4 linked regions of the Alligator mississippiensis genome follow. The protein of the gene in region 1 interacts with the protein of each later gene in a pairwise test. Links are inferred from orthologs where the notes say so. Each region holds a gene or a part of one and is shown on either strand. Other genes may lie near its edges. The genes, in order: UBE2N, ZNRF2, TRIM32 and MID2.

Evidence for each region.
Region 2: the proteins of UBE2N (region 1) and ZNRF2 interact in a two-hybrid assay, tested with the Homo sapiens proteins (4 studies listed by BioGRID). The link is inferred for Alligator mississippiensis from reciprocal best matches to the Homo sapiens genes UBE2N and ZNRF2.
Region 3: the proteins of UBE2N (region 1) and TRIM32 interact in binary tests that used the Homo sapiens proteins (3 or more experiments, as listed by UniProt). The link is inferred for Alligator mississippiensis from reciprocal best matches to the Homo sapiens genes UBE2N and TRIM32.
Region 4: the proteins of UBE2N (region 1) and MID2 interact in a two-hybrid assay, tested with the Homo sapiens proteins (2 studies listed by BioGRID). The link is inferred for Alligator mississippiensis from reciprocal best matches to the Homo sapiens genes UBE2N and MID2.

Annotation. Positions count from the first base shown.
Region 1 is NC_081827.1:87,986,135-87,993,506, forward strand, and holds the start of UBE2N (ubiquitin-conjugating enzyme E2 N), read right to left. Parts: upstream 3,017-7,372; 5' UTR 2,963-3,016; coding exon 2,933-2,962; intron 1-2,932. UniProt on the Homo sapiens protein: The UBE2V1-UBE2N and UBE2V2-UBE2N heterodimers catalyze the synthesis of non-canonical 'Lys-63'-linked polyubiquitin chains. This type of polyubiquitination does not lead to protein degradation by the proteasome.
Region 2 is NC_081828.1:140,419,430-140,427,417, reverse strand, and holds the start of ZNRF2 (E3 ubiquitin-protein ligase ZNRF2), read right to left. Parts: upstream 3,014-7,988; 5' UTR 2,877-3,013; coding exon 2,495-2,876; intron 1-2,494. UniProt on the Homo sapiens protein: E3 ubiquitin-protein ligase that plays a role in the establishment and maintenance of neuronal transmission and plasticity. Ubiquitinates the Na(+)/K(+) ATPase alpha-1 subunit/ATP1A1 and thereby influences its endocytosis and/or degradation.
Region 3 is NC_081835.1:54,504,654-54,512,081, reverse strand, and holds the start of TRIM32 (E3 ubiquitin-protein ligase TRIM32), read right to left. Parts: upstream 3,015-7,428; 5' UTR 2,915-3,014; intron 2,785-2,914; exon of another isoform or gene 2,691-2,784; intron 1,584-2,690; exon of another isoform or gene 1,384-1,583; intron 17-1,383; 5' UTR 1-16. UniProt on the Homo sapiens protein: E3 ubiquitin ligase that plays a role in various biological processes including neural stem cell differentiation, innate immunity, inflammatory resonse and autophagy.
Region 4 is NC_081831.1:38,491,505-38,499,491, reverse strand, and holds the start of MID2 (probable E3 ubiquitin-protein ligase MID2), read right to left. Parts: upstream 3,011-7,987; 5' UTR 2,735-3,010; intron 2,395-2,734; exon of another isoform or gene 2,226-2,394; intron 2,210-2,225; exon of another isoform or gene 1,839-2,209; intron 1-1,838. UniProt on the Homo sapiens protein: E3 ubiquitin ligase that plays a role in microtubule stabilization. Mediates the 'Lys-48'-linked polyubiquitination of LRRK2 to drive its localization to microtubules and its proteasomal degradation in neurons.

The sequences.
Region 1 (7,372 bases):
GTCCACAGCAAGTCTTCCACAGACATAAGTGGATGGCTTACACAAATCAAGGATTGTTTTATGCTAATGAAACCATGTATTTATTTATGTACTGTCGCATTAAGTACCGCTCAGTGAGAAAATATATTCTCCCCAAAGCCACCATTATTTCTGCCCCTTTGCTTCCTCCTTTTGCCATTACTCCCCCTCTCACCTCTCTGTATTTCCTTTCCTGTATCTCCAAATTCCCACCACAAGGGGCTTCAGTTCTGCTAGTCCACCTTCTAAAATAAATCAGCAATGGAATAATTAATATTAACACAAAAGCTAGAAGGTATAGAGAAGTTAACAGAGTTATTGTTTCAGGCTGTCTGCAGACTCAAGCAAACAAATTATAGTTGGTATGTTCTCTTCAGACACAGTAGTTAAGAAATTTCACATATTAAAAAGATAACTTAGATTCTGCACAATACAAGTCACTTAAGCTAGATTCAACCTATAGGCTATATGATACTTTCCAATTCATGCATAATTACAACCCTGACCACTGCAATCCATTATATGATCAAAGTTCAAACACATAATGTACACATGGCACTGCACGCTTAGCCCGATGCACATACTTAAAAAAAATAATAATAATCAGCATCTTCCACAACAGCATTCTGCAAGAAGACAGCTTTGGAATTTCAAGCTAATTTTAAGCTATAAAGGGTTAAAAACAAATTTAACTTTGAGGAATGGCATCTTCACCAATCTTAGAAACGCATTGTGCAATTTACTATATACTTTGTAAAGTAGGAAGAAAAACAAAAATACAGAAGCACAGGAAGGAAACCTGTGTGCAACCCTGCAGATAGATCCTTTAATTTTTAGAAAGTTAGAGATAATACTCAAGGCCACCTTAAAAAAAACAAACAGAAAATTCAGCTTCACTATACAGTTTTAACAGGCCTCCAGAATAAGTAGTGTCTAGTATACTGCAGGACATTAACCACCACATGCTATTAACCAACTGTAATATTTTTAGTGTTGGATAAACTGCATTGAGATAGCTAGCTAAGTGACATTATCAAATTATATTAAAACTTCTGTCTTTAAAATCCCTAGAGCAATAGTAAACATTAAGCAACTGGTAATCAACTTCACCATCTTTAATATTAATTCTGCACAGTTTAAGTGGGATGTACCTCCCTATTCCCTCTTACTATACTACCTTACTCACTTTCGTTTACAGCCAATCTGATAATACCTTTTACTTCAACTTTTTGCATAATCTGGGCCTTGATGTTTGTAATAGTTGCCAACTTTCAGCATGTTCTACCAAGAGCAGCTTCACAACATTATAAATTGCGCGCCAGATATTCATTCACTTCAGCAAGAAACAATGGTGCTATTATCTCTAATCAGAACTAATGGACCTTACTTGAACAAAGCTACTTTTACAGAACCAGTCATCACCAATTTGAGGGCTTGAATTCACATCACTTCTCAAAACTTGAAGCTGTAGCTAATGAGACTAATATTTACACCATGCTAAAAGGAAAGATCCACAATAAAGATCACAGATTAATGTTATGCTGCCTCAAGGAAAAAAATGCATTGTGTTATTTCACTCACATCTCTTCCTTAAGATGTAGATGTCAATATAAAAACTAACCTATTTGTTTATGGTCCACTATAGCTTAAAACTAAACTGATTTCAAAGGACCCATGTTACTATTAAATCATTTCAAATACCATGAATACAAAATACTTGGTTGGATCCCCTACAGTAGCCACAAAAACATATTACGAGCTGAAAACTCAACATGACACAGCTCTAAATCAACACTGTCTTAAACAGACAGCAATGTCTAAGAACACAAATACTGAAATAACTTTGATTTAAGGCACCCGCAATATTTAGCTTGTCATCATTATATCTTATTAGTAAAACAGAGAACCTTTTGTTTGCATCTCAGCCAGGATGCTGAAGCAACCTGGGGTGCCTGGAGCTCCAGCCTTGTGAGGTGTGCAAGCCCAATTCACCCAGAGATTTCAAACAGGAACCCACAGTGCAAACAACATCCTGCCCTGTGGTGGTCTTTCCGAGCTCTCTGCAAGACTAACATTATTGCTCTGTGATGTTTCCACAGTCTAAAAACAAGTGAAAAGGAAGAGCTGCCACTTCCCAACAAAGCCTGGACAAGGGAGACAGGGGTTGAGCCCAAGAAGATTGAGAACCAGGACTCCAGCACTTGGCAGGCAAAGCATCCACCTTGTTACCCCCTTTTCCATTTCAGAAACAGTCTGACCCGGCTCTCACTTCCTGCTCCCTCAGAGCCACCTCCCCCAGGCCAGCACAGCCTCTGCACTGCCCCTGGGTGCCAGCATTCAAGGAGGAACAGAATCGGGCAGGCCGCACCATGCAGTCGCAAACACTCCTCCCTTCCTCAGTCTCTATTTTTAAAGGACCTCTCACAGGTGAAGCCAGGGCAAGGCCCGGGCCCGCAGCCAGGCCCCTGCCTGCTGGGGGGGCGCGGGGGTCAGCGAGCCCTGAGTCATCGGGTGGGCGCCCCCAGCAGCGAGGCCGCGGCTCTTGGCCCACTACAGCCCGGCCGCTGGACACGGGGCAGACGGGGGCACTTCGGGCTCCGCAGCTCCCGGCGCTGTCACAACTGCGCCCGCCAGGCCGGGCAGGGGTCGGGGTCTGGGCCGGGGACACGGGCTCGGCCAGCAGGAGGCGTCCGCGCCGCGGTCCAGCTGCTCCCATTCATTCCCGCCGCCGCGGCGGAAGCGGCTGCGCCAAGGCCCCGCTCGGGCCCGGCCGCCACCGTCGCCGCATGGGGCCTCCCTCGCGCCCGCCCACACCCGGGCCCGGGCGGCGAGGGGGGAAGGGCCCGGGCCGGGCACCGGAAGCCGCGCGCGGGCCGGGCTGGGAGCGGGAGCCGGGGGCGGGGGCCTGGTGTACCTTGATGATCCTGCGGGGCAGGCCGGCCATCTTGTCTGATCGGGATTCAGGCGCCGCTGGGTCTCGGCTCCGCTCGGGGGCTCGCGCACAACCGGAAATCACCCGCGACCCGCTTCCGGTAACGTCACTGCCCCCTCACCCGCCCCCCCCCGCGCGGCACGCCGGGCAATGTAGTGCAGGAAAGGAGGTGTAGTGCGGCAGGCGGGGCCCGCGGCCTCAGGCTTGCAGGCTGTGACGTGCAGCTGAGGGGGCGGGGAGGAGGAACGCGGGGAGCCACGTGCACTGCTGTCAGGCTCGCGCTGCCCTTGCTGTAGAGTCACGGTGTCCCGTGGGAGGGGCGAGGCCCCGAGGGGGGGGCGGTCCTCGCGCCGTTGGCGCAGCCAATAAGCGTAGAGCTGTGGGGGGAAGGGCAAGAGTGCGGGCCTGTTGCCACCGCCCTTCGTGGGCGGGAGAGATAGGGCCTGGTCTCCGCCCTCGCCCCCACCCCGGAAGTGCTGAGCCGGGGCTGCCGGCCCCTTCGTTTCAGCTGGGCACTGAAGGCTCTCCGAGTGCCGAGTACTGGCTGAGCAGCCTTATCCCCGTTTCGCAGACAGGGCGCCATCTGACGACCACACGAGAAGAGAAAGGCATGTGGGTCCCGCTGCCCCAGTACTGTGGACTTCTGCTGCTCCGTCCCTGCTTGTCTTTAGAGAAGTGGCTAGCTGTGGTAGTGTAACGTCAGCTAGAAGATGCCTTTATACACGCATAAAGAAGATACGCATATAAACAGAGCGAGCGAGAGCAAGCTGGCTTTTGTGAACCCGAGTTCACTCCATCCGATGCCGTCTGGAAAAGTGTAGTCAGGGACTGCCCTGCCTTGAGCAAGGGGCTGGACCAGATTAGGGTTTCTCAGCCTTTTCCAGGCCAAGACACATTTACACGAATAAAATGTCTCCCTTGCGTTCCCTATCCCCCTATTCATGATCTCGTTGTAACCCATTACCAAGGCAAAATTCAGCGGCACCCCTGTTCGTTTGTAATGGCACGCCATTGTGCTGCGGCCACTAGTTGGGAAGCGCTGGACTAGGTAACCTCTTGAGGTCCTTTCCAGCTCTGCTTTCCCATAATCCCATGAAGGGCTGGGTAAGGGCAGCAGTATTTCTAGTCCAGCACCTGCTGAGGGAAGCACTTGGCTATGTCTCATTGGAATCCAACTGTTTCCTTCTCAATCTCACAGGTGTTAATGATGTGCTCTCCTTTTTAATGATCGTAATGTTCAGCTACTGTGAGGTATTTTTTTCTTTTGCAGTTCTGCTCTGAGTTCTTCTGCTAGCCCTGCTCCTGTTTTACAGCTCTCCACAGTCTGTGCAACTCTGACTACAAACATTAGCTCAGCCCTGCATGGGAGGCACTGTCAAGAGGCTCAACAGCAGTGGCCTTAGAGTTGTTGGGGTCCTGGGCAAGCGAGTCATTTGAGGCCCCTTAGAGGTATGTACTCAGGTAAATATTAACCCACCACAGTTGTCTTGTGAATCTTTTTAATGTTTTGGGGGGAATTAGATTAGTAGTCAAGTGTTTAAAATGGAGCCACTTCCTTGCAAAAACTTCCCCCCCCCCACCAAAAAAAAAATTGGACCCCCTAAAGTGTGGGGGCCTGAGCAGTTGCCCAGTTTGCCCTCCCCTAAGGCTGCTACTGGGCTCAAGAAGGTGAGATTTTGTTGGATGAATCTGAAAAAAATCTAATAACTACGGGACTGTGATTACATACTGAAGGTATAGGCAAAGTGGTGCATTCAAGCCATCATCACTTAAAAAGAAACCCCTGTGGGTGCCTCGCCCGGACCAGCTCCAGCCCTTTAAGAAAAAAAAAAAACAGAGACAAGCCCCCAAGACTCGCTGCTCCTGCAGCAGCCTCAGGGCTTTGCGGGGCTTGTGGCAGAGCCCCCCACATAGCGTGTGACAGCAGGGATTGCCCCCTGCTTGGCAGTACCTGGTGAGTCTGGACTTTTTTTTTTTCTCCTTACAAGTGCTGGGAGCTGGGGCAGGCGGGGCAGCCATTGCAGGGCTGGGAGAGGGGCGGGGAATGGGCCAGGCCTGGCTAATTCAGAGATTCAGCTGCTGCCGAATCTCCAACCCAGATTTGGCCAAATTGAATCGGGACAGTGATTCGAATCACCAGATCAAATCGCTGTCCCCCAAATCAGCCGAATCCGAAGCGAATACTAGCCACTTCGCACAGGCCTACTATCTGGCACCCTTTGCTGCTGTGTACATATACCACAGTCAGAAGCTTACTGAAGGGTTGAGCATGTCTTTGGTTACAGCTACACGTCAAGCTAATCCTCATGTCTGGACCTTCTTCAGCAAGGCCTCCTAAGCCACGCCTCTGGCCCACCCAGTGTGTCCCCCCTCCAAGTTACCCCTTTTACCTCTATGATCTAGCCAGCCCCAAACCCCATACAGGGCATATATTTTCTGCTTTTCACAAGCTTAAAATTGTGTTCACTTCAGGGTCCCCCTTGTCCCAGTTCTCAGTCAGGGCAAGGAGGGGCTCAGGCATCCCTAGAGGGGAAAAGTCCTCTCCTTTCAGGGCACACAGGTAGGAGGAGAGAATGTGGTCTTGAATGTTGCTGTCCCTCATTTTTTCTACCACCAAACCGAATGCCCTCTATCATATCCCTTGCCCTATCCATCCCCCATTCCTGACCTGAACCTCCTCAGCCCCTCTTCTCCTTTGTCACCTATTCCTCTTTACCCTCTTTCCATAATGTCCCCATCCTTTGCTGCAGCTACAACCTTTTCTCCTGTTCCCCTTCCCATTTTGGTCCCTTCTATTCTACTTCCAGCAAACACTACAGTTGGGGGGCAATAGAATGTGGTAGAATTATTTTGAAGAAATGCTATTTTGAAGGGAAGGACTGTATCTGAGGAACCTTTTGTTCAAATGAACTCAGTTTGGATGATTAAATGCAGGGTGTGTATTTTAGCCCACTTAAATAGTTGACCTTTAAATCGAAAATGTTTACAACCCTAACTATAGCAGAGGTTGCTCTCTACTTAATTGGAAAGCAGTATCTCTTCTGTTGCAGTCTCCCATAAAAGTAGACAAACAATACAAACGTTTTAATTCATGTAGCATTTAAAAATATTATAGTTTTAGAAAATGAATTACTTGTACTGTCCTCAAGTGATTTTACTGGCAGGCATGTTCACCAAAAGAACACACTTTGAGAGACTCCCATAACTGTTCTTTGCAAATTCACAGAAAAGGACTGATTCTAACTGTTTTTGATCCAAACGGAATGGAAACAATACATGCAACTTGTGTGTTCAGCCATAACAATCTGAATTCTGAATATGGAAATCTTGCAACTGCTTGTGAGCTACTGTCCAATATGATTCACTAATTAGTGATTTCACCGGTTCTTTCAAGTGACACACATTTTAAAAAACAACGTATATAGACTTAACTCATGAAATGAGCTCACCATTTGTTAAATAAGGTCCAAGTCATGTAAAGCATTTATTCACCTTTTTTAGCTTTATGCAAATCAGCATTCTGCTGAGTTCACTGATTTCAATTAGACGACTCATATGTACATGCTTGTCTTTGTGTGCAAGTATTTGCAGAGTCAGGGTCTGTTCATTATGAGTTACTCGCCCTCTGTTTCCTGTGCTGATTGAGAAACATTCAATTCAAATCCTTTACTGAGCATTGTTTAAGCATGTTTTTTAACATGGTTTATTCTTACAGTCATCACTTAAAATGTTTGGTGATTTTTTTTTTTAACTTAATTACTACAATTTCAGTCCTGATCACAAAAGTAGAACAAACTTATTTTTTTAGCAACATAATGTATTCAATGTGTGCATGGCAAGTGGCATGATTGCGGCATCACACATTAGATCCCATCATGCCTTATTGCCAATGCAAGGGGAGCCCAATCCCAGGCTCTCCCTGCAGCAGCAAGAAGCAAGCTCTCATTTGAGGGGCTCCCAGCTGCATGGGTGTCCCACATATCACTGGGGCTGGGGGATTACAACAGCCATAATCTTCCAGGCTCAGAAGGTGGAGGGGGGGTAAAAACCCCAGACCCAGGGGAACGCAGCAGCCGCAAACCCTGGGGCCCAAACCTGGAGGTTTCATGTATCCACAAGCCCTGGGGATTGCAGCAGTCATGATCCCCTGGGCCTGGGGGTTTCATGTTGGGCATGGTATACCCCTCTGGCTGGGACACCAACTGTAGGGGAGACCCTGCTACCTGTGCTTGATGACAACCAGCTATAAAGTTAGTATGCATTTTTGAGGTCTATAGCTGGTTGGAGTTTTTTATTGTGTGATAAGTACTTTCCACATATAGGTAAGGTAATGGTGTGATTAACCAGTTAATTGTGTGTTACTTATAATGTGTAGAGAGGGGGCCTTAGAGGTGATCTGTAACCTTGGAAACTTATTGGATT
Region 2 (7,988 bases), on another chromosome or scaffold:
AATCATCTTAAAAAAAAAAAAAGGTTATTCAGCTCCAGTAGGGCATAAATTCTATATTGTCTCAGACAATTAACACTAATGCTTTATCACTCCGGTTTCAAATGCTGATGGGAAATAAGACATAGCGAGCAACCAACCAGTGTTCTACAGAAAGCACATTTATGCAAATATTATCATCTGAATTTGGAACAAGAGGAAAAATATGGCCTGCAATTAATTAGGTAAAATTCTCATGCTCAAGAAATCTCAACCAATCACTGGGAGGGAAGGGGGGACACCCAAGCTGCATATTTTGATCTTTGATTCCTACCCCATATTTTATCCCATTTCTCCTTGCAACTATGCAGGCTCCACTGAAAGATTTAAAGGGCAAAATCATTTTCTTCAACAAACAAATTACTAAACATTAAGTTTTAATCTCTCTCTCACTATATTTTAGCTGTAGAATAAGCAGTGGCACAGCACCCTTTGACTGCCGAGGGAATTGTACACAACTGTTTTCCTACATACTGTAATATTCTGACACAGCAACCATCCTTACACCAGAGCCCTGATCTGATTAAAGTCGATAAACAGAGAGTTAATAGATATGCAGCAGCCTGGCACTATACAAACACATATGCTTATTTTTTCTCTTTCAAGGACAAACGCTCCTTAGTAAGGTAGCCTGACACTTTCCATTCTTGTGTTCAGCCACAGAACTAGGAAGAGACAATAGCAGACTGAGGAGATGACAGGACTGTCTTCAGGTCTAAACACACAAAAAGGCAGCCAACAAAGAAGTCTATGTGTTGAGAGGGGTGGGGGGTGTCACTCATGCCAATCAGCCAAGAAGCGTAAGGACTGGGAAGAAAAAGATCTTAATTTGACCTTCTGTTCTTGAGATTATGCCACTTTCATTAAGGACTGAGAATGAGTTTCAAAAATAAACCCACAAGATATTCCATGTCACAGAAACTATGTTCGATGGCAACAAACAAATAGATTTAGCAGCATAAATGGATAACCTTTAAGACAGGCACTTTGCACTGAACAACCTTTCCCCCAAAACAACCAGTTTTGATCTCCTTTCCAAGTCAGCTAGTCTTTGCACATATATATTAGGTTCCTATAGCTTTTAAAAGAATGACCCCATCAATGTCCCGCTGCACCGCAGCATTTGCCCTTCTGACATGAGTGGCCCTTTGATAGCCAGTGTCACTGAAGGAAGTCAGCTCAGCTTCACCTAAAAACTTATGCTTGAAAGAAATGGCTTAGTATATGAACTCCCCCCGTACCCAAAACTATTCATTCAAATTGTACTGTAAAGAAAAAAAGTCTACACCCAAGAGATTCATTGTTTACTTTGACTCTGCTCCCTGTAAGTTGTCAGTGGTTTTCAACCTTTGTTCATTTGTGAACCCCAAAACAATTTTGAATGGAGGTGCAGACCCCTTTGAATTCTAAGTGTGGGTAGTCACAGACTTTTGATTGAGTACAGTCATCTTTCGTGGACTCCATAGACATAGTCTGCGGACCCCCACGGGTCTGTGGACCACAGGTTGAGACCCAGAGTTAAGTAGTTTTGCTCAACCCTCTGTCTGCAGCTTCAAGGAAATACACTCTGGTACACCAGAAATGAACTCATATAGTGTGGTTTTGGTGAGAAGGGCTCTTTAAAGGAACTCAGCTCATCTATAACATCAGCATCTCTGCGGGAAGGAAGAGAACCCAGAGAAACTTGCAGTTACACTACTGTCACTAGCAACCAGCTTTCATTGGAGAAAACCCCAAGTCTCTGGACCAGGAACAAGCTGTGACCACGTGGTTTTGCTTTGTTGGGGGTTTTTGCCTCTCTGAAGCCGGATTTCTGCCCCAAGGAAAAGCAACAGCACCAACGCATGATCCAATTAACTCCTAACGATGTAAGGAACAGGCCAGGGTATTTACCCAGTCACTGATTACAGCTATTAAAGTCTGAAGTTCTAGGCCAAAGCAGCTTCTTTCCCTCTCACCCCAGCGACTGCTGCATTGCTGTGGGGTTTCATTTCTACATCCCCCTCCCCCCTCCCTCCTTCCGCTTTTAAGCCTCCTAGAATAAGACCAGCCCCACACGGCGGGCCCAGAAGCGCGGGAGCGCCCTGTCTGGGGGAGGCTGTGCCCTGAAGTCATGGTTCACGATGCACAGCCATTAGGGGCTGGAAGGGGCCTCGCAAGATCATCGAGTCCAGCCCCCAAAGAAGCCCACCCTCAAATCCTGTCCCCCCCGCCGCAGCCAGGTGCCGAGCCCCGCGCCCCTAACACGCCGCCGGCGGGGCCGTGACGGGGGCAGGGAGAGGACGCAGGGCTCCGCGGGTGGCGCCCTGCCCCTGGGGCGGGACTGGGCCAGGGGGAAGCTCGTTACACAGCCTGGGAAAGTCCCAGCTCCTAGGGACAGACAGCTGCCTGGTCCCGTGCTCCGTGGCTGGGTGGGGAAATGCCCCCCTCAGCCCACCCGGCCCTGGCCCCACGCTACCTCCGAACAGGTGCGGCGAGAGGTGCGCTGGCAGGGAGCCGATGAGCAGCCGCGCCGCCCCCCCGCCGCCGCTGCCCGCGGGCCGCTCGCGCCCGCCGTCCTCGGGGCTGCTGTTGACCGAGTCCTGCGAGCCGGAGGCGCCGCCGCTGCTGCCGGGGGGCTGGAGGGGGGCGGACGAGGCGGCCCGGGCCCCCGCCGCCGCGCCGGCCGAGCGGCTCCTCGGCGCGCCCCCCGCCGCCGCCATCGCGGCCCCGCCGCCCGCCGCCGGGCTGCCCGACAGCCGCCCGTCCGCGCCGCCGCTGCCGGAGGGCACGTCCCCGCCCGAGTACGCCCGGCTGCGGCCGGCGGCAGCGGTGGCCGGGCCGCTCTGTTTCGCGCCCATGCTGCGGCCGGGGCCGGAGCTGCGGGCTCCGCGCTGGGTGTCGCCGCCACGCGGCTCAGCGCCACCATGAGCCACCGCCACCTCCCGCCCCGCGGGGTCTCAGCTCCGCCGCCGCCATGCCGCCGCGCTGGGGGAGGGGCAGCACCGCCTCCGCCGCGTCGCGTCGCCATCCTGGGGGCGGCGCTGCGCTGCGCTGCGCTGCGCTGCGCAGGGGGCCCGGCCCGGCCCGGCTCGGGTCGCGCGCGGGGCCTCTCGCCCTAGCCGTAGTCCCAGCCCCGCGGCGAGATACGCTTGGGAGCAGCGGGCACCAGGGCTGCGCCGCTCTGGCCGCGGCGGGGACACAACTCCTTCCTGCTCCCTCGTGGGTCTGGCCCCGAGCCTCTCCCCAAAACCTCCCGGCCTCGGTCCCAGCGGCGGCACTGGCACACCCCGCTCAAATCCCCCACCTCGGTGCTTCTGGACCCCTTGCCTCCCCCCAACTTCTAGCTAACCCACCTCTCTGCTTGTCCTGACACAGCCCCCTCCCCACTTTTCTTTTTTATAATATATTTCCTGTTCCAGATCAAATCTGCTCCAAATCGTATCAATTCAACCCTTCCAAAATCGGTATGGATGGAGCAGGCAGAGCTCCTTCTAACCACCATGTATTGGCACTCCAACCAGCGAGCATCCTCTGTCCCAGCCCTGTCATTCAGGAACTTCAGAAACTTCTAAATCCACTGGCAGACATCCCATGTGCAGGTCCAAGCCCAGACGTCTTGGGGTTCAGATGCCCCTGGATACTACAGGCAAGCATCCTCCATCCCTGACTTTAGTCCCACTCTTCAGGTACTCCCTACCATCGATCTTAGGCCACAAGAGGCCAAGAAGCAATGAGGGACTTGAGGCAGCGTTGGGGGAGCCCCTGTAGCTGCTGGGCAGGCACCTGGGAGCATCCCCCCTGCCCAGGCCCCCGCTGTGGGGAAAGGTCTGTGGAAAGGAGACAGGGGACCATAGGCGACTGGTAGGGGGTGCACATGCCCCCACTGACAGCCGACACTGATGCAGTTGGTAGGGCTGGTGCCCCCCTGATGGCCACCGCCTTCAGCAGCTTCTGTGGGTTCCCCACCCCCAGATTCAGGAGGCACCAGTCACTCATGCAGAGGACATCATGACAGAGCCACAAGAGCCCCCCACTTTGTCTTCCCCTTGCAGGCTTGGAGAAGAGCTGAACCACCCACGCAGCAGCAGGACCTTGGCCGCCCTGCTTTACCTGGGGCAGGTCAGGGAGCGAGGTCTTGTGGTGCTGACTGGGTAGTTTTGCTAGGAGGTCAGGCCCTGGGTTTGTAGGGGGTGGTTTCGCTAGGGCTGAGCCTCCCTCAGGCAGGGGGTTGGACTGGATGACCTTTAAAGCAGCTTTTCTCAACCTGTGCATCACGACCCAAAAGTGAGTTGCATGAATATATTAAAAGGCCATGAACAAACTTTACAAATGGATTCTCCTTTAAAGGAGAAAAACATGGGAAACCATGGCTTTTTCCCTCGCAGGCTGGCAAAGTTCCAGTCTGCAAGCGGCTGTTTGGGCCCCATGCCCCACACACACACCCTTGCCCCACATACAGGGGGTGAGGGGCAGTAGGTCGGAAGTGAAGGGCACTGGGTCGGGACTGGCCATTGATGTTTACAAAGAAGGTTGGTACAAAAAAGGTTGAGAACCACTGGACTAGATGAGGTCCCTTCAAGCCCTGCTTCTGTTATGATTCTGTGAAAACAACTCCCAGTGTTGCCTCATCTGGGGTTTCCTTAAAACCCCAGCTGCTGGAAACAGATGATTAGCTAAGAATCCCAGTTCTCGGGGGTTTCAGGGAAAGAAGTTGTTCACCTTCACAGTTGTGGAGCAAACCTGAAAATGTGAGTCCAGGGCTAGAGGCTTTACTGAAGATAAGAAATGCAGACATCCATATAGTTACACCTGGTTGAATTGCTCTCATCTCAATCTTAATCTACATCATACCTGATATCTAGATCATACCATATTGGCGGTCAGGAAGGAATTTTACCCATGGCTAAATTGGTTTGGACAGTGGGGGGTTTTGCCTACCTCTGTAGTGAGTGGCGTGGCCCTCTACACAGGATCTCTAAAGCATATATTGACAACATTTCATAGAAGCAGGACGTTGGCTGCCATGGTTTCCCTGCTTTGCAGGTTAGAGTGCTAGGTCTGTGTGGCATCAGGATTGATAGTAATCCTATGTGGAGTTTAGATTATGGATTGTATGGGATTGTTCAAATAGAGATTATCCTGTCTCAGGCGGGGGTTGAATTAGATGGCCCCAGGAGGTCCCTTCCAGCCCCACTTTTATATGATTCTATATAATGGAGGGGAGGGGGAGAGGGTGGGAAGGATTTAAAAAGCATAGTACATCACTTCAAAAAGACAGTTGTTCATGTGCCTTAAAGCTAGAAATGCACATACATTTGCTGGTTACCCTGCACAGAAATAGATATACACAAGCGAATACATGCAGGTCTGTGCTACCTAAAAAGGGAGAAGCTACAAAGTACTATTATGCTCTGAGCATTTTTGTTCAAGTACAGTTTCCAGAGGAGTTAAGAAGAAATCTGCCCACACATCTAGGCAACTCTTAAATGAATGAACATCTTGACTAAGAGTAGCGAGATTTCATTGAAGGTGACTGAAATGAGTTCCTATGAGCTATAAGTACAGAACTGTACAAGGAGGCACGCTGAAGATGTATCTAGGATTTTAGGTTCTGAACCACTGCAATATTTCAAGGCTCAGGAGGCAGACTTCTACCGATAGAAAAAAAAGTGATAGTTAGGAATACAACAGTGGCTATTCCATGTTGGACCCTTCTCAGGAACAAGTTTTAGGTTCACAGATTTTAGTTTTTCTAAGACAATGGGGGCCAGCTATTTTAGCAGGTGTGCCACAGATTAAGCTTGTGCTGTACCTGAGTGCCATTCTGATCCCCTTCCCCTGCTCAATCTGATGTCCTGTTCACTTTTCTCTACCCTGTGTTCCCTGTCCACTCTGCTTTCTGCTCCCTGACAGTGGCATAAATAGGGCAGGGATACTGGAGCAACCACCCCAGGTGCTGACAAGGGAGGGAGACAGCGGGGAAGTGGCTGCTGCTGGCAACTGTGTGATCATGACTAAGGTGGCCACCAGACACTGCTGCTGCCCTGGGTGCCTTGCTGCATCCCTATGCTGCTGCTCTACCTGCCTTGTGTTCCCCTCGCAATATGCTGTTCTGCTTTTACTTCCTGCCCTACCTGCAGCTTTGACCTCTGCCCGCTCCCTCATCTGCCATGGGCCACACGTACACAGGCTACCTATGCTACTTGTGGCATGTATGTCACAGGTTAGCCATTCTGCTTTAAGATACGAACATTCAAACACCAATCATGTTTTAGCATTAAATAGTTACGTTAATTTATCATTTTTGGTAACCAGCTTATTGACAACAGATTCTTAGAAAATGTTCTTTTTCACTCGGTATATAGTTATAGCAACAGGTTATTTGTTTTTAAATGAGATGTATCATTTCAGATTTTCTACAGGACCTGCAGGAAGCTGCAGGAAAGAACGCATTACTTTTATCAAATCAGCATATAAACCTAGAGGGCTGTAAGGTGGTTCTTACTCAGCCACCCAGCTGCAGTTCCAATAAAGATATACACTGACTGAGAACTGTCAAAGTTGCCATTTCTCGATGCACCCTTCGCTCTTCCCCTTGATGTTTTTTGTACACCAGAGCAGCAAGAGGTAGTTCTGATCTTGTTACAGGATTGAAATGTTTCCCAGCTGGACAAATTCTTTCCAGGCAGTTCGGTCCTGACTGCAGCCTTTCAGTGTTACCAGACTGATGTAAAGAGATGGGAATACTGGGAGAAAATCTTGTTGCACATTTTTACTATGGGCAAAACTTGTTACAGGGAAAATCCTACAGCCATTAGTCCCTTACTCAGATGAAACTTTAATGAGTCTTGCATAAATAAGGATATATGGCTTTGGCCCTATAAACTGAGCTAGCTATCCACATTAGTTCAATCTCCACATGACAAATTGCAGCATAAATCATTTACTTCTTTAAAAATAGAAAATATGATTGAATGTCTCTGCATCCAATATATACGAGCAGGATTCCTACAATCAGTCATCCAAAATAAACTGTTTATATAGATGACTGGCATAAATAAAGTACATAACTGCATAGAGGAGCTTCATATTTTCAAGGCTCTCCATGGCTCAGTGAGTTCTATTTGAATAAGGATTCCAATGAGCTACATATACATCAACATCACAATGGCTGTAGCTTCCAATTTACTGCATAAGCTTTTCCCCCCCCAAATACTTGCCCACATTAAAAAAAAAATATCTAAAAACATATTTTGTGTATGATATATTAAGTTGCTGGGACATCTTTTATACCAGTCATCAGATGTGATTAGATGCAAACAAGCCTTTTAAATCCGAAAGACTGAAAAATGTCTGAATGCAGAAGGAAATCAAATCTTGGTCAGTCATGCTAATAAAGTCAACAAGGCATTCCATGGGCCCATGAATCCACCTGAATAATGTTATGTGCAGGTCTCAGCCCTAGCTGCATTATGAGCCATGACAGGAGACACCCTGCATTTTCAGGAATGTTGCTACTGCTGGAACCAAACACAGGCATTTTTGCCACTGTGTTGTCCAGCATGGCTCAGGGCAGATTTCGAGGACAGTGTGTTAGCATACGGCTAATGCCTTTGCACCACTGCCATCATCAATGCAGCTACCTCCAGAACTAGGCCAATAGTAGAAGAATTTCTAAAAATCCTCTTGCTACACTGAGTATTTCATGAATTTACTCCACCTTTGATCTGTTAAGCATTCATTGTTAATATAGGCAGCATTTGCCTCTCAAGAGTATTGAACATAACTTGGAATTAAGAAGGCCTGTAAAACAAGTTCAAGGTGTTCTAATCGTTAATTAGTCTGACAAGTATAAAATTAATCATGTACAGTAAATCCATACAACTCATCCAGCTAATAAATCAAGACAGGAGAAAGCTTCTTTTTTTTTCATCTGACCCAGGGGCATGCCTTCAACTCTTCCCAAAAAG
Region 3 (7,428 bases), on another chromosome or scaffold:
CCAAGGTGCTCTGATCCTGCCCAAAAAGAAAAAGTAAAAAGTGATTTATTTTCTCTCCACCAGCAGCTCTATGTACATGCAATATATTTCTGATTTATTAGCCAGCTCTGGCAAAAAAAAAAAGGAAGAAATCCAGTTGGTCCTTCCACATGCTAAAGGGGCAGATTAATCTCAGCTGGTCTCACACTGGGCGAATTCCAATGCTAACTTGCCTTTTCCAATACAATGAATAATCTACTTGCAAAATATAATGTATAAGCAAACCTGAAATAAGTGCAAGGGCAACAATAGATACTGATGACTGAATTCTGTCCTCAGAGTGCCTTCAAGTTTATATAATGTAAGAAAATCCTGGGCAAGTACACCAAGCATTAAGATTTCATAGACTTTAGGGGCTGGAAGGGACCTGTGAGATCATCAGATATTGCACGTTAAAAGTTTGGCGATGAGGAGCACATCCTGGCTGCCTTAGGATACTAGCATGTCTACCCTAGAGATCTAGATTCGTGTGTGGCATCAGACATGGGTAAAGTGAATAGGATTGTTTTATCTTTCTAGATAACTATGATCAGCTGCAAGTTTCATATGCATTGAAGAAAGATAAATTCCAGTGTAAGTGATGTGACAGAAGCTGGTTTATAGAGTTTTAGCCCATTTGAAAGTATGCTGTTCAGATTTAATCTAATGCATTTCGTTCATCTCTTCATTCCTGCTTCTGTACCCCAAGACACTGGGAAAACCACTTTCACTACACCAGTGAAAGCGTTAATAACTGGTCCAATAAAAATATGTGAATGTGAGTGTTCAGTATTCATTCTCAGACTTGGTTTTAAAATGTAGCTCATTTAATTTAATTTAACAATCTGGTAGCATCCATCCCATTTTGGTTCAGTCTAATGCCATTGCTTATCCAGGTTTCCTGTATCTTCACATCACTCCCTACTGTGAAAGGATTCTAGCAGCTCTCACTAAAGCAGCCCCATTCAAAAGGGTTCACATCATTAAGCTATTATTCAGTAGACTCCGTTTCCATATCTTTGCTGTTGCTTTGCTTTGCCATTAAAAGAGGTTGAGGGGTTGGGGTGAGGGGAGTTAGAAATCTCCGAGGGTTGTTTTTTTGGGGTTCTTCAGATGAAGAACAGTGCTGCAAGACCTGTACAGAACTGTGAACTCTCAGCTGTTCTCTGAGTCGGGGTTGCTTGCTCTCAGCATTTTTTACCTCCCTGCTGAGCCTGCTTCAGTCTTGGGAGCATTTTAGACAGAAAGGTTTGGTACATTTCAGGAGACCGCTTGCTCAACTGAAAGATGACATTTATAGTAGAGAGAAGCACTTTGTGCTCACGGAGGGTGAAGCATACATTCATTTATCTGCTTTCAACCAACCAGAGTTTGCTGTTCTGTGCAGCCCTCGTTCCCAGGGACTGAATCGATCCTGTAGTGGAGTTGCGCTGAACTACCAACTGAGATCTGCTCCTTAGCTCCTTGGATTAGCAGCACTGCGGACTTAACACAGCCCCTGGGAAGTGACAGGTGTCCAGCACTGAAACAGGAGAGTTGCCTTTATCTTTAGCATGTGTAGGAGGCTGTGGGACCAAAAGAGAGAATGCTGAAAAGTAGGCCAAAAACACTCCCTCAAGGGGTGAACAATGGCACTGAAAAATGCTAAAAGCAAGAAACCCAGAGTGTAAAACAAAACCCACTATCTAGGTTAGTGATTTCAAATCAGGGTGTCTTGAGATCGTCCCAAGGGTACTGCAAGGTGCTATGCAATATTAGCCCTATTAGGTATGCAAACACGATTCACCAGACAAACCCAGCTACTTCAAATAGAAATCCATCCTATTAAAAACACCGATCCTTGTGGTAGTCTTTCTGAGTTCTCTGCAAGAGGAAAAATGCTGTATTATTTTGTGTGCGCGTGCAGGTGTGCATGCATGCAATAGGAAAAATGTATTATTGTGCATGTGTGCACATGCGTGCGTGCAACAGGAAAAATGTATAATTGTGCATGTGTGCACATGTGTGCGTGCAATAGGAAAAATGTAAAATTTGTGTGTGTGTGCATGCATGCAATATAGGAAAAATGCTGTATTATTGTGTGTGCATGCGCACGTGTGTGTGCACGCATGCAGTAGGAAAAATGCTGTATTATTGTGTGTGCATGCATGCAATAGGAAAAAGGCGGTGTGATTGTGTGGGTGTGTGGGTAATCAAACGAGCAAAAATGAAAAGCTGGCTTTTTCTGGGGACTGCTTTCAGTCTAAGCAGGGCTGGGTCTAAGGAGGTTGAGACCCACTGATCTAGGTCTGTAGGAAAACATGCCAACAGCTTTTGCTTAGGAGGGATAAAAAAGGATGCTTGACATGCCACACAGGGCTACTGACCGCCTTGAAAGGGGGCATGCTTTTGTTAGGGATAAGCAGCTTTTCCTTTTAAAGCGGGTCAGATTTCCAACAGGCAGAAGGAAACAGCGGCCTTTCAATAACAGATAGAGAGAGAGAGAGAGAGAGAGAGAGAGAGAGAGAGATGGAGAGAGAGAGAGATGGAGAAAAAGCAAAAGATAGAGAAAGAGAGATGGAGAGAAAGAGATAGAGATGGGGAAAAAGAAAGAGAAAGAGAGGCAGAAAGAGGCAGGGGAGCTCCTGGGTTTCAGGAAGGCCTGCGGGTCTCCCAGCCTTGCCCTTACTCACAGGAGCCCCAGGTTTCTCGGAGGCTTCAGGCCCCCCGGGCTGGTGCCGCCCGCCCGCCCGCCCGGCCGGGACGCGCTGTGTCCCCGCGGGCCGCGGGCGGGCGGGCGCAGCGCTGCAGGGCGGACAGCCGGCGCCGCCCGGGCGCTGCTCCTCCCTGCCCCGAGGTGGGTGCATCCGCGGCCCCTCCCCGGCCCGGCCCGGCCTGGCCCGGCCCTGCCGCCTACCTGCCCGCTCCTCCGGCCGCCGCCGCCGCTCCCAGGCTGCCCGGCGAGCACCGCCCGCCCGTCCGCCCGCAGCAGGCTGGGAGCTGTAGTCCGGCCCGGGGATGCTGCAGGCCCCTCCCTAAGGCCGCCTGTCTGCTCGCAGCCCGGCTTTGTCTTAAACGTGCCCGGGGAAGCTGCTCCGATGCTCCTCACCCTGGTTTTCCTGGTACCCAGCCTCCACCCTTGCTGCAGCTCGAGAGCATGGCTGGGTGGAGAGCAGCCCGGCTCCATCCTCTGCGGTCTCCCGAGGCGGTCGTGGCTGTGACCTTACTCGCAGGAGCCAAGGGTTTCGCCGAGGTTTCGAGCTGTCTGGAGGGCGTTGAAGCTGCCATTCAGTCCCCCTCTGCAGACTACATCAGCCCAGCCCCCTTGGCTCATCTGTCACATCCGCCCAGCCCCCCTGAACCAGTTTTGGTTGCCCTTCGCAGGGCTCTTCCCTAATTTGTGCGTGTCCTTTTCATAGCAGTGGCCCAAAACTGGACACAGCACTCCAGATGTGGCCTCGCCAGTGCTGAATCGAGGGGAAGAATCAACCCGCTGGCAACGCTGGTGCTCGTGCAGCCCAGTGGGCCGTTAGCCTTCTCGGCAACTAGGCCTTGGCTTTGGATTAATATCATGCATACTTCGTACTATATACTTACCCGGCAGGGGAAATACCAGGACCCCTATGGGGGTTTTCCTAGTCGCTTTTGTGGCACACGGTAGTATCCGCAGAAGTAATGTGTAGGTAACCTCCCACTTTCATTTCCAGTGGGAAGATCTTGGTGTTACACCCACTTTATGGAAGTCGGAGTCTCCTCCCTAGCTTGCTTCTGCAGCCGTATGGCTGAGGGCAAGCAAAACTCGGAGTCATCCAAACCCCAAGCCTCTGGGCTTGGGCCTGCATGTAGGATGCCCACCAAAGGATTTAGAAGCATCTGAAGCCCCAGGGGGTGGAGGATGTTTGCCGGTAGCAGGGCCACATTCGGTTCTTGAATGACTCATGGATTTGGCTTGGAACACAACAAATTTTCCTTAAAAAACCCCCCAAACTGGGGCACGCTGTTGGTTCATATGCAGCTTATTGTCCACTGTAACCCCCAGGTCCTTTTTTGCAGAGATGTGCATAAAGGGTGGTTTAGGCAGCATCATGAGGCTGGGGCTTAGGAAGAGCCAGGTCTTGCCTGCATTTGCGAGTAGGCCTGCTTCCCTTCTTGGAGGCCAGCAACCCATTTAGTTGCTCTAATACCAACCCCCATTGTAGAGAAGAGGAAGCAGGGGTTTGCATCCCAGCCTGCCCTTCTTTGCTTGTAGGATTTGACATGGATAGGACCTGATCATGAGACAAGCTGTTCTTGGTATATTGGATACTGTTCCCTATAGTTGTACGTGAGCAACTGAGGTGGTGACCTCAGGGGGATTCCTCACCTACCGACAAAAAAGGAGGCGCCCTCCAGTTACGTTCCTATATTTCTAAGATGCATCACACCTTCCATCCAAGGATCTCAGACTGCTTTATAGATGCAATGTATTTCACTTATATAATATTGGGAAGTGTATAATTAGCTTACTTTTATATTGCCCACGCATTGTATCATCTAGTATTGCTGCATTTTAATTTACCATGTTGGTTAAGTGCATACACTGCTTAAGTGCATAGCATATTTCAGCTCTGCTATCTACTTTATAACTTCATTGTACTTGGATAATTGCATGTTGACTGTAATGGTAGTTCTTTACCTAGTAACTAATTGGCCTTGATTTAACTGCCAGAAACAGGGAACGGGAAGCTGCTGTCAAAGAGATGCCATTAGAGCTTCGGAAATGAGCAGGACTAATCTGTTTCGTGGCTGCTATCTCCCTTTATTTTCAAAGCATCTAATAGAACAGGGGTGGCCAACCTGCACCATAGGTGCCACGTGTGGGACAGGCAGCATCTGTGTGTGTGCCCTGTGGCAGACTGGGGAGGGGACAGGTAGCACAGCAGCAGATAGGGCTGGGAGCAGAAAGCAGAGCATCAGATCAGGCAGGGAGCACAGAGCAGGGAGCAAAAAGCAGAGCAACAGGTTGGTCAGGGAGCATAGAGCAAAAAGCAGAAGAACAGATCAGGTAGGGGAAAGGGATCAGAGTGGGACTTGGGAGGATGCAGAGCTAATTTGTGGCTTGCCTGCCAAAAACAAGGCTGACTCCCCCTGTAACAGAAGCCTCGAAATATGAGGAGAAAAACCTTGGAAATTCGGGAAGCTGGTCAATTTCTGAACTGTTGGCACTGTAGCCCTGACAGCACAGGGTACGTATGTACTTACTAAGCTTTGCTTACAGTGTTATTGGTGCCACGGTTTTAGCAACCCCAAAACCAACTAGCCCCCCTCCATTTGTAAGGCCTCTAATAGCAGACTTGACTTGAAAATTATAGGGGCTTGTCAGTCTGGCGGCTGCCAAATACCATGGCACTGATAAATCTTTAAGCAATGCATGTTAAGTATACAGTGCTGCCATTGCTGTGATACTAGAAGACCCCAAACTGACTGGCTCCCCTTATATTCAGAGTTTCTAATAATGAATATTTGGGCTGCTGTCAAAAACCCTGCAAATAAAGAAAGCTGATCAGAAGCCCATGACCTTAGCACACTGGGTTCTCAAACTATTTTAGACTCAAGGCCCACCCCCACCCCCAAAATGCCAGCTCTTAGCTTTTGCTTATCTGTTTTTACTACAGAAACAAATAGAGTAGGTCTCCTGCTGCAAAGAACTCAGAAGGACCACAACAGGTCAGACATGTTTTTGACACTATGGGTTTCTATTTGAAACATCTAGGTTTATGTTGTGAATCGTATAGGTGTTTGCACGCCAAACAGTACTAATATTGTGCGGTATCCTTAAAAGGATGGCATAATCCTGGTTCAGAATTATTGTTCTAGCAAATATTCAAGTCCCTCTATTCCAGTAACATATATTTTTGTTCTTGAATTAATGGAGAATCATAAAATCATAGAAAATTAGGGTTTGAAGAGACTTCAGGAGGTCACATCTAATCCAACCCTCTGCTCAAAGCAGGACCAGCCCCAACTAGATCATCCCAGCCAAATCTTTGTCTGCCTAGGTATTTAAAACTGTCAAAGATGGAGTTTCCACCATGTCTCTGGGTAACCTGTTCCAGTGTTTTACTACCCTCCTAGTGAGAAAGTTCTTCCTAATATCTTACCTAAACTTCCCTTGTTGCATCTTGAGACCATTGTTCCTTGTTCTATTATGTGCCACCACTGAAAACAGTCCATCTCCATCCTCTTTGGAACCTGGTTCAGGTAGTTGAAGGTTGCTACCCCACCCCGTCTTCTCTGCTCCAAACTAAATAAGTCCAGTTCCCTCAGCCTCTCCTCATCTCCTTTATAAGTTAGTAATTCAGGACCTTTGAGGCTCAGTGGAGAGGTTCTAATGGTATCTAGTAACATATAAGCAATATATCTGCTATATTACATTAACAGGGTCCCCATTTTACAGATGGGGAACTGAGGCATACCATGATTTTTGTGGCTTGAGTATGACTGTGCAGTCACTCTATAGAAGAGATGGATATAGGAGCCAGATTTTCTGACTCTTAACCATTTGATTATTAATGGAGACATACAGACTGGCTCTCTTCTTTGTGAGTATGCAGCCACAAGGATCTAAAAACCTACCTCTGATCATGGATTGTGCTCAGATTTGTGCTCCGAAGCCAAAGACTGAACCAGAATCTGCGGCACCATCCTCTGATTGGGGGAGTTATCATAAAATAATGGAGCTCAGCAGTGTAGCCAGTCAGTGCACTTCTCTAGGGAGCAGAGAAAAGCCCTGAGTTGAGTCACAAGGGGAAATGAAATCCATTGCGTCCTTACTAGCTTCCATCTCCATTCCCTGATGACAGTAAAATGCTGCGGACATCTACTGAATAGAGTACCAGCACCCTCGGGGATGCGCGTTCCCCAGAGAGATGGCATTGTCTTTGGTCATGTCTGTCTGGTATGTTTGGTCCCACATCAGTCATTAACATGACCTCCTCCTCCTGCCCCACCCCCCATTTCTGCCTAATTAGTGGTAGCCAGAAGTCCTTGTCTGAGGTGGTGTTGAAGGTCTGAACGAGACTTGGCAAGATCTTTGTGAATTTACAGTGATGCAAGCGGGCAAAATTTGATGGCAATGAACTGTGAGCATGCTAAGGAAAATCTATTGTACACGTATGCATGCGTGTTGGGGAGGAATGGGTGAAATATTGACCTTCCAGGATAAAGAGAGTGGTCCTTGAGCTGCACACCCATGAGATGAGCCCTTGAAGCATCATTCAATTTGATGGGGACACAGACCTGCAATCACTTGGAGAGAGCATGGGGTCCCATCTATGAGTGTACAGCGCAGGGCTTCCATCCATCTCCTAATGAGCCAGGTGCAATGCAGGCAGCAAGGGATGCACACAGCAAGGTCACAGTGCAGGCCTCAAAGAGCTAGCACCTTGTAAA
Region 4 (7,987 bases), on another chromosome or scaffold:
TATTTCAAAGGACAGAATTTCTCAGCAGCTGCAGTTTCAGAAAAAGAAACATTTACAAAACAGGCAGGGCAACTTTCAAAACATTCACTGTACACACACTGCTTTCACTCAACACTGCAAAATGGTCCTCAGGGCACAGACCTGTCTCTAATCACTTCTAAAGCACAGGGCACTCCCTAGGTGCTGGAGCAATATCATCACCTGTCTAAATCAATGCCACCGCTGTAGCAGATGGTGTTTCCTCTCCCTTCTTGTATCCTTACCCTGCTTGCTCTCTTTTTTGAGCAGCTTTCTTACTTAAGTTTTACCAAATATCCAAGCACAGTCAATTTTGTATTTTGTTTCACTGCAACAAAGTTTTGGGATATCTTTGCCGTTTGCTTCCACAATAACAAACAAAAAAATGAAATTGCACAGTGAACAGCAACACCTATGTATCCCTATGTATCCACCTATGTAACAAATTACATGTAGCAATGATGAATTCAGCACAGGGTTCAAAGCACCTGTAGAAGTGGCCTGCACCTCACTCTTCACTTTCTTCAAATTCTTGTAGTCACTTTATTCTACAGCCTGTTTTAGCTGCACATGATATCAGTGCCCCCTGTATTGAGGATTACTTGGATTATTTTAGAGGAGGAAGGCAAGCAAGCATGCAGACAGGCTTTATTATTATTAGAAAGATCAAGGAGCATCTCAAACCCATGTACAGCAGGGCAAGCAGTTGGCACTGCACTGCAAATTCCCAGCAATGCCCACCTGTGATCTAACTTGTAAGGGCATGATGTTGTCTAGGAGCACACCAACAACTCCATGCCTATGCCGAATTCTAGAGCATGCAATCTGGAAACCTGGTTGGGCTGTGGCAGATGCGTGAATGGGGATGATCTGCCTGAAGTCACTAACAAAAACCAAATGGAAAGGATCACAATTTGTTTTAGAGAGGGAGCAGACCTGGACCACAGTCAAAAAGAAAGAGGCGGTGCTTAACGCATTAGCACCTAGGGCTTGAGAAAATGATGGGACACCAAAACAGAAGTCCCAAATAAAATCCCCAGAAATTTGTGCAACCCGTGAGGTTGAACTACCTTGGAAACATCTAGAATGGCCTGCATTATAGGCATAGAATACATGGTTGATACCAAATGCACAAGTAGAGCCTGAAGACTAGAACTTAAAACAGTGTTAACTCGGACACATTTCTACCTTGTCGGATATTTACTTCAATCACGCTTTGCCGCATTTCAAAACCAGTAATAGTCAGTCAAAGAACAGAAAGCCAATGAAACACAACAGTAAAATATTATTTAAAATACCAGCTGGTTATGGACTTCACCACATAAAATTATTATTACTGTCCTTATAGGCATGAATTTTCTCTCACCTTGCTGTCAACTTCAGAAGAAAGCTGACTAAATAACAAGAAACCCATTAACTCACATTTAACTAACCTTTATTGCCACTAAAGCTGTAGAACATGGTTAGCAATGAAATCTGAGGCAAGCAGACAGTATACTTACTGTACAAGGCTCCAAGCTCTACAAGACTCCCTGCTGGCAACCAGGGAAGCTTGAAACTAAAATGTGTCATTTTAAAATTTAGTCTCTAAAGCAAAAGATAGAAAGGATACAAATTCAGACTCCCCCTGAAAAATAAAATCAGAGAGAGTGAGAGAGAAATCATGATTGAGAATTCAGGCAGTACCAGGAGCGTATAAGTGGCTGAGTGAGAACTTTGCTTGGCTCAGGGACCGAGATCAGAAAAGCTACCAGCAGCCAGCTGATGATTGAATTATAAAGCTATTCCCAACTTTAGCATTTCAGAGCCAACAGTAATACCTGAAAAGGAAATGAGGTGTCTTTACTTCCACGGGTGTAATCTGGATTTGCAGGATGTATCCAGCTTCCTTGTCGGGGGGTGGGGGAGGGGGTGGAGAACAGCTGGGCAGCTCTAGCAGTGCGCACTAATGGAGCCTTCCTCCCCACAGAAGCTGCTTGAAAGCTTTTGCCCTCGCGCTTTGCAGGAGGCAGGCTGGGTATTTAGGAAGCAAGAAGAGGGTGAGAAAAGAAGAAGTGGGGGGAGAGGGGAGGGGTGATCACTTCGGCCCCGTGTCTCTCTGACCTACCCACCCCAGGGAAGACTCGCCCAGAAGAGAAAGGATTTTAATCGAGCTCCATGACACAAACAGGCCGGAAATGGCAAACGCAAACAAACAAGCAACCCACACGCAGACCCGAACCACGCGGCAGCCGGGCCCGGCTCGGGTTTCACCGCGGCTCCCTCGCAGCGCTCGCCGCCAATGCGGAGAAGGCAGCCCCTGGGCTGCGGGCGGTGTGCGCACGGGCTGGGGGCTGTGGCAGCCTGATATCCCGGAGAGTCGCATCCACCCCGCCATAACCGAGACTACCCCACTCCCTTCCAGGAAGGGCAGCACCCCCGGGCATGCACGGTTAACCCCTTCCTCCCCCAAGCGCGGACACCACACGGTGCCCCCCCTCCCCTCCCGGCCGCAGGCAGCAGCTCCGCAGCATCGCCCTCGCCCTGCGGAGGCGGGGAGCGGGCGGCCCGCAACTGTCCGCGGAGCCTCACGGCCTGCCCGGAGCGGGGGACGACCGGCACCGCCGCCGCTTCTCGGCGCCCGGCTGCGCTCCCGCCCCGACCTCCCCCGCCGGGCGTGTCCCCGGGGCCGGCAGCGCAGCGCAGCGCAGCGCAGCGCAGCGCGGGGGGCTCCTACCTACCAGCCGGTTCCAGCAGCCGCCCCGCCGCTGCCCGGGCATCTTGGAGGCGCAGGAGGGGGACGGCGCGGGGGAGCCGGCGAGCGGGAGCGGCGCGGGCGAGGGAGGCAGCGAGGAGCGCGGGCGGGGAGGAGGGAGCAGGGGGAGGGAGCGAGCGAGGGAGGAGGCAGCCGCGCTCCGTCCCCGCCGCCGCCGCTCCCGCCGCAGGTGAGGGCGCTGCCGGCCCTGGCGGGAAGCTTGTCCCGTCCGGGCCCCTCCCCGGACACCGGCGCGGGAAGCCCTCCCGCCAGCCCCCCGGGCCGCCGCCTCCGGGCAGCCCAGGGGGCGCGAGCAGTGCGGTGAGGGAGTCCGCCCGGACGCCCCCCACAGCTGCCAGGCTCCCGGGAGCTGCCTCTTCCGCTCCCGCACGGCTGGCAAGCAGCGGTCTTCAGCCGGGCTGCTGCAGAAAGGAGCCTCGCGGCTGCTGTAGCACTCGCTGCCATGAACGGGGCAGTCAGCGCCTCAGAGTGACTGTGCCAGGCTCCCTGCAAAGGCAGGAAGGCGGCTGCGTGGTATGTACACTCCAGGTTTTCCCTGTAACTGGCCCTAAACAGCCTCTTTTCCTTTCCGTTTAATAACAGCTGAGACCCAGAGGAACAAACAGCTGTGGCCCCTCATCGCCCTTCACAGGCCAGGCACGGTCAGGAACAACTGCATGCTTTGACACTCTCCTCCCCCAGCTCAGTGCTCGAAGGAAGTAGTTGGGGCAGGTCCTGCTTTGAGCAGGGGCTTGGGCTTGGGCTGCGCTGGATGACCTCCTGAGGGCCCTTCCCACCCTGCTGCTGTGTGATACTAAACCAAGATTCTCCGAGCCAGTGCCATTCTTTAGAGCTTTGCTCCACCGGGCCAATAAAAAAGAACTGATCCTGCCAGCAGATCTGGGCAGGATCCTGTGTCCAACCCCACCCTATTGCCAAGGGCATTCCTGCAGGATGAGTTTACACAATTGAAGTCAAGGTTTCCTACTATCCAGTTGTTATCACACTCCGCATGAGAAAAAGGAGTGGGAATGGAACATTAAAGAACATTTTTTTCCTTGTTCACAGGCCAGTAATGATTATAAAGGTAGTCACACGCACACATGTCAGGCAAAGGCTTTAAATGAGATCCATGGGGTGTTTTATTATTCATTATTACAGTAGAGGAGATACTTTAAGTTGAGATTCAATTTCTTTGCAGTGAGTCTTTTAATATGTTTGCTTTTCCATTGGCAGATACAACTGAGAAATAGATTCGCTTTTTTCTTACTTTCTGGTTCAGAAAAGGGTGGTGATGTCCTGATGTACTGTACGTTTTAATACATTAGAAAAAGTCTTGGATACATGTGCATTGTTATTGCTATTTATAAAGTACATCTACTTGTAACACCCAAGGGAAACGAGGATGGGCGACCCAGTGATATATTTATTCTTCCATAATGCAAATCCAGGTCAAACATTATTTATATTTGATAAATAAGGAATTTGTTTCTTTACAAATAAATACGCTAAGAAACATGTCTAAGCCTTGAACCTATGTTGCTTTTAGGGTGAAGCAGGAAGGGATTGTATTAGTGATTTGAAGGAGGTCCTTGGAGCACAGAACCTAGGTTTTATTTCCACCTATGCCCTTAAGTCACTGTGGCTTTCCTCCCTGCTTTTTCATAGTGGTATAACTGGTACATGTTAGCTGCCTCCCTGACTATTTGAGTGGAGTCAAAGCACTTACAGTTTTCACTGGATGCATCTACATGTGTGCTTTAATGCACAGTAGCCTATTTTACTGTGCATTAGCATCACTTAAAAACCACGCGCATTCATTACTGCTCATTAAGGCAGCTTAATACGCATTTCTTAGGAACTCACATTGGAGGTACTAAATTTAATGCACATTAGAAAAAGTGTTCAAGTGCATGTGTAGACATGCCCACTGTGTGGTTAAGGGTAAGGGGTCAATACTATAGCTGGGCCTATGGTTGGCCTCACCTAGTTTACACTGCAGTAAAACTGCAGAGCCAAGTTTCTACTAGTGTTTTGCTGTGAGATTGAATGTATTATCCTACCCTAAACAAAGCCTGCCTCTTTTGGCTATGAAAGCAAAGTCTGTAGCACTCTGGGCCACAATTTCCTTATTTACATCTGTGCAAAATGAGTGTAAAATACAACTGAAAAGAAAACAACAGGACCCGATTTTCATCTTTTTTATGTTGGCACATATCCTGAGGAACTCCACTGAATTCAGTGGGATCAAAACTCATGTGACAGTGTGTAACAGGCCCCCACCTGACTCACCTCAGTACTGCAGCTCAGGTAGCTAGTCTACAATCAAGCCGGCCGGCACCGTGCTGACCAGAAGAGCACTGCTGATTGGCCTGCGGCCCAGGGACAACTGGCTAAAAGCAAGCCTGGAAGGAGAGGCACACACCAGAAATGGTTCTGGACATTCTCCCTGCTGCTGGAAGGGACCCAGAACCTTTCCCCAAGGCCAGCACACTCAGTTAATTGATGCATATCTATCCCGCAGGCAAAGCATCTGGGAAAAATGTGGATGATCACCTCAGCATCGGAAGGAGTTGAACTGCTTCCCCTGAGGCCAAAATGCCTAGAACAGTATTCAATGCTATCCCCACTGCTAGGGCACTGGGGATCCAGCTAGGCGTTCTCCCTCCCAAGGTGGCCAGTGAGCAGTTCAGCCCAGGCACAGCAGGACCCTGCCACATACATAGAAGCCAGTGCAGAAGCACCCATGTCAGGTCAGGCTGAAAGAGGGCAGCCCAGGGGGTCCTGCAAGGGACAACTGGTGAAAAACCCAACAGCATCCAAACTGAGACCATTTTGCATTCTTCAGTGATGTAAAACTATATATGAAGTCACAAGGTGCCAGGCATTATAAAGTCAAGCCAACTGTATCTTTTTTTACCTGCTTCAGTTTGTCTGTATGCATGTGCATGTAAATGCTCAGAAAGGTTTGGGATGTGGCAAGATGTGACAGAGAGATGGCAAGATGGAGGGATGCGGGGCAGAGCATAGTCTAAACATGGAAGCAAGGCATCAAGGGGTGGCAGGGATGGGAAGTCCTAGCAATCACAACTCAGCAGATGCAGCATAAAAAGTGTCTGCCCAGTGTCAAGGTGGGGGAGGGGTGAATGTGGAATACAGGTTAGGCCACATTAAGGAATAATTGGTAAAAGAAAATCTCACCAGAAGATATTAACAGCTACTGCTACTATTCTGGGCCTTGCAGATAATTACCCAAGTACTACTTAAAGAGGCAGAGGCAGGGCTTCCTTACCAGCCAGGTTCAGTATCACCAAAGAACTGCTGTCAAACAGGAGTCTGATATCCCGGCCCAGTCCCCAGTCATACAAAGCCAGAGCTCCAAATCTCTCCTCTTTTTCTTCTAGCAATGAACCATTAAAAGACCCCAATTGGCTAAAAGCAAAAGTAAAATCACTAGGATGAAACAGAATGCAGGCAGCAGGTGTTTGTGTGCAGCAGCTAGGTACATGGCATCTTGATTTTCTACTGTCTTCCAGCTATGCTCCAGCAAAAACAACCACGCCTCAGCCCTCAAGAAAGGTAAACAAGCTGACAGCAACTGGAAGTGGAGAGGTTGAGGAGCAGGGGAGCTGGAGTAGCAACTCAGTCTTAGGCAGGATGCAGAAAAAGATTAGTGTCAGTGGCATTCTCTTGTCACACTATCGTTCAGAAATCTGACTGCATCTGGGTACCTCACAATTACAAATCAAACACCATGACAGATGTGTGCAACTGTATCTCTGCCCCTGCTGTGGATCCATCTGCATAACATGTCAGTTATTTCAGCTTGGGTAGGCCAAAACTATACAACACACTTAAGAATCTATACGATTTTTTTTTGCAGCCACAAAGATGTTCTTTCTGAAATGGGAGGATTCATGCTGTCCCTATTCCTGATCATTTCTCCTTGGAATTTCATTAAGCTGTTCTCAGCCCTGGAAATTCAGTTGTTTTTTTCTTTTTAAATGTAAGCTTGCTCACCTGACAGGTTTTTCTAAGCTCCGGTGACTCTTAATTAAAGGAGGTATTTTCAGTTCACAAGCAGCTTTCCTAAAAGGTTGACAAGGAGAGAGGATCGTGTCAGGGAAAGGTTATGTCATGTTCCAAAGTTCTTCTAGCTTAGTTTTTCCACTTAAATAAAGTAGAATTTGGGGTTGAAAATGTCACAGGTGATGTTTGGCAAATATTTACAATAATAATGTTATTCTTTGCATGTTCTTTGTTAAAGAGGGAAGAAACTGGCCAAATGCATTTAAGCGCAGTAATTGACTCTGTTGCTGGATAGTACCTGTGTCTGATGGGACTATCCGACAGTGCTGTAAATTAGTCTACACTGGCCAAATTGCTGCACACATGTAGACTGTGATGCTTTACTGCACAGTAAATTAGTCCACTGGCCAAACAGTTGTTTAAGTCTGCTGAAAACCACTAGCACACTATAGCCCTTTGAATTTTTATTAACCATTTTAAATGAAACACAGACATCAGTAGACCCTACACACCTGATTTTCAAAGGTGGGAGTACCAGGCAATTTCCCACTGAGGTAATTTTGGAGTCATGAGTGCTCCACACACCTCTGAAAAGTAGAAACAACTTTAGAACTAGTCTTTATTTCTATGTAGCATTGTTAAAATTAGTGCTATTTTTCCCAAGTATGCTGTGAGGCTAATAAGTGTTCTCACTCACACTACAAATGGGAAACTGAGGCAGAGAAACTCCATGATTTGCCCAGAGTCAGTAACACAGCCAAGATTAGAACATATGACCTCCTAAATTTGTTCTTATTTGTCAGTGTACAACATGGTCAGAATCAGTGCTTTTTTAAACCTTGAAGCCCTCTGTCTGTTTTTGTTCCTGCTACTCCCAGCCCTACCCAAATATGACAACCTAGCAGATTAATTCCCAGAAAGGAATCTCCTCTAATTTTCCAACCCTGAGCAATTTACTCAAATTTTTATCAGTTCATTTTGTGCTGACTTCATTAGTATCTTCCTCATCTCCATTTTCTAATGCAAAGGCATGCACTTCTTGTTCCTTGTTACTACACACAAAATAGCAGCTTCAAAGTCTTAAATGTGAGGTGGATATTTTGTACCACCTGATGTTAATCTCTGGAATTTCAGAGTCTGATCAGAATTTAATTTGGCTGCTGTGATGAGTAACCAGAGGCCCTATTCAGATGACCCAAAACAGGC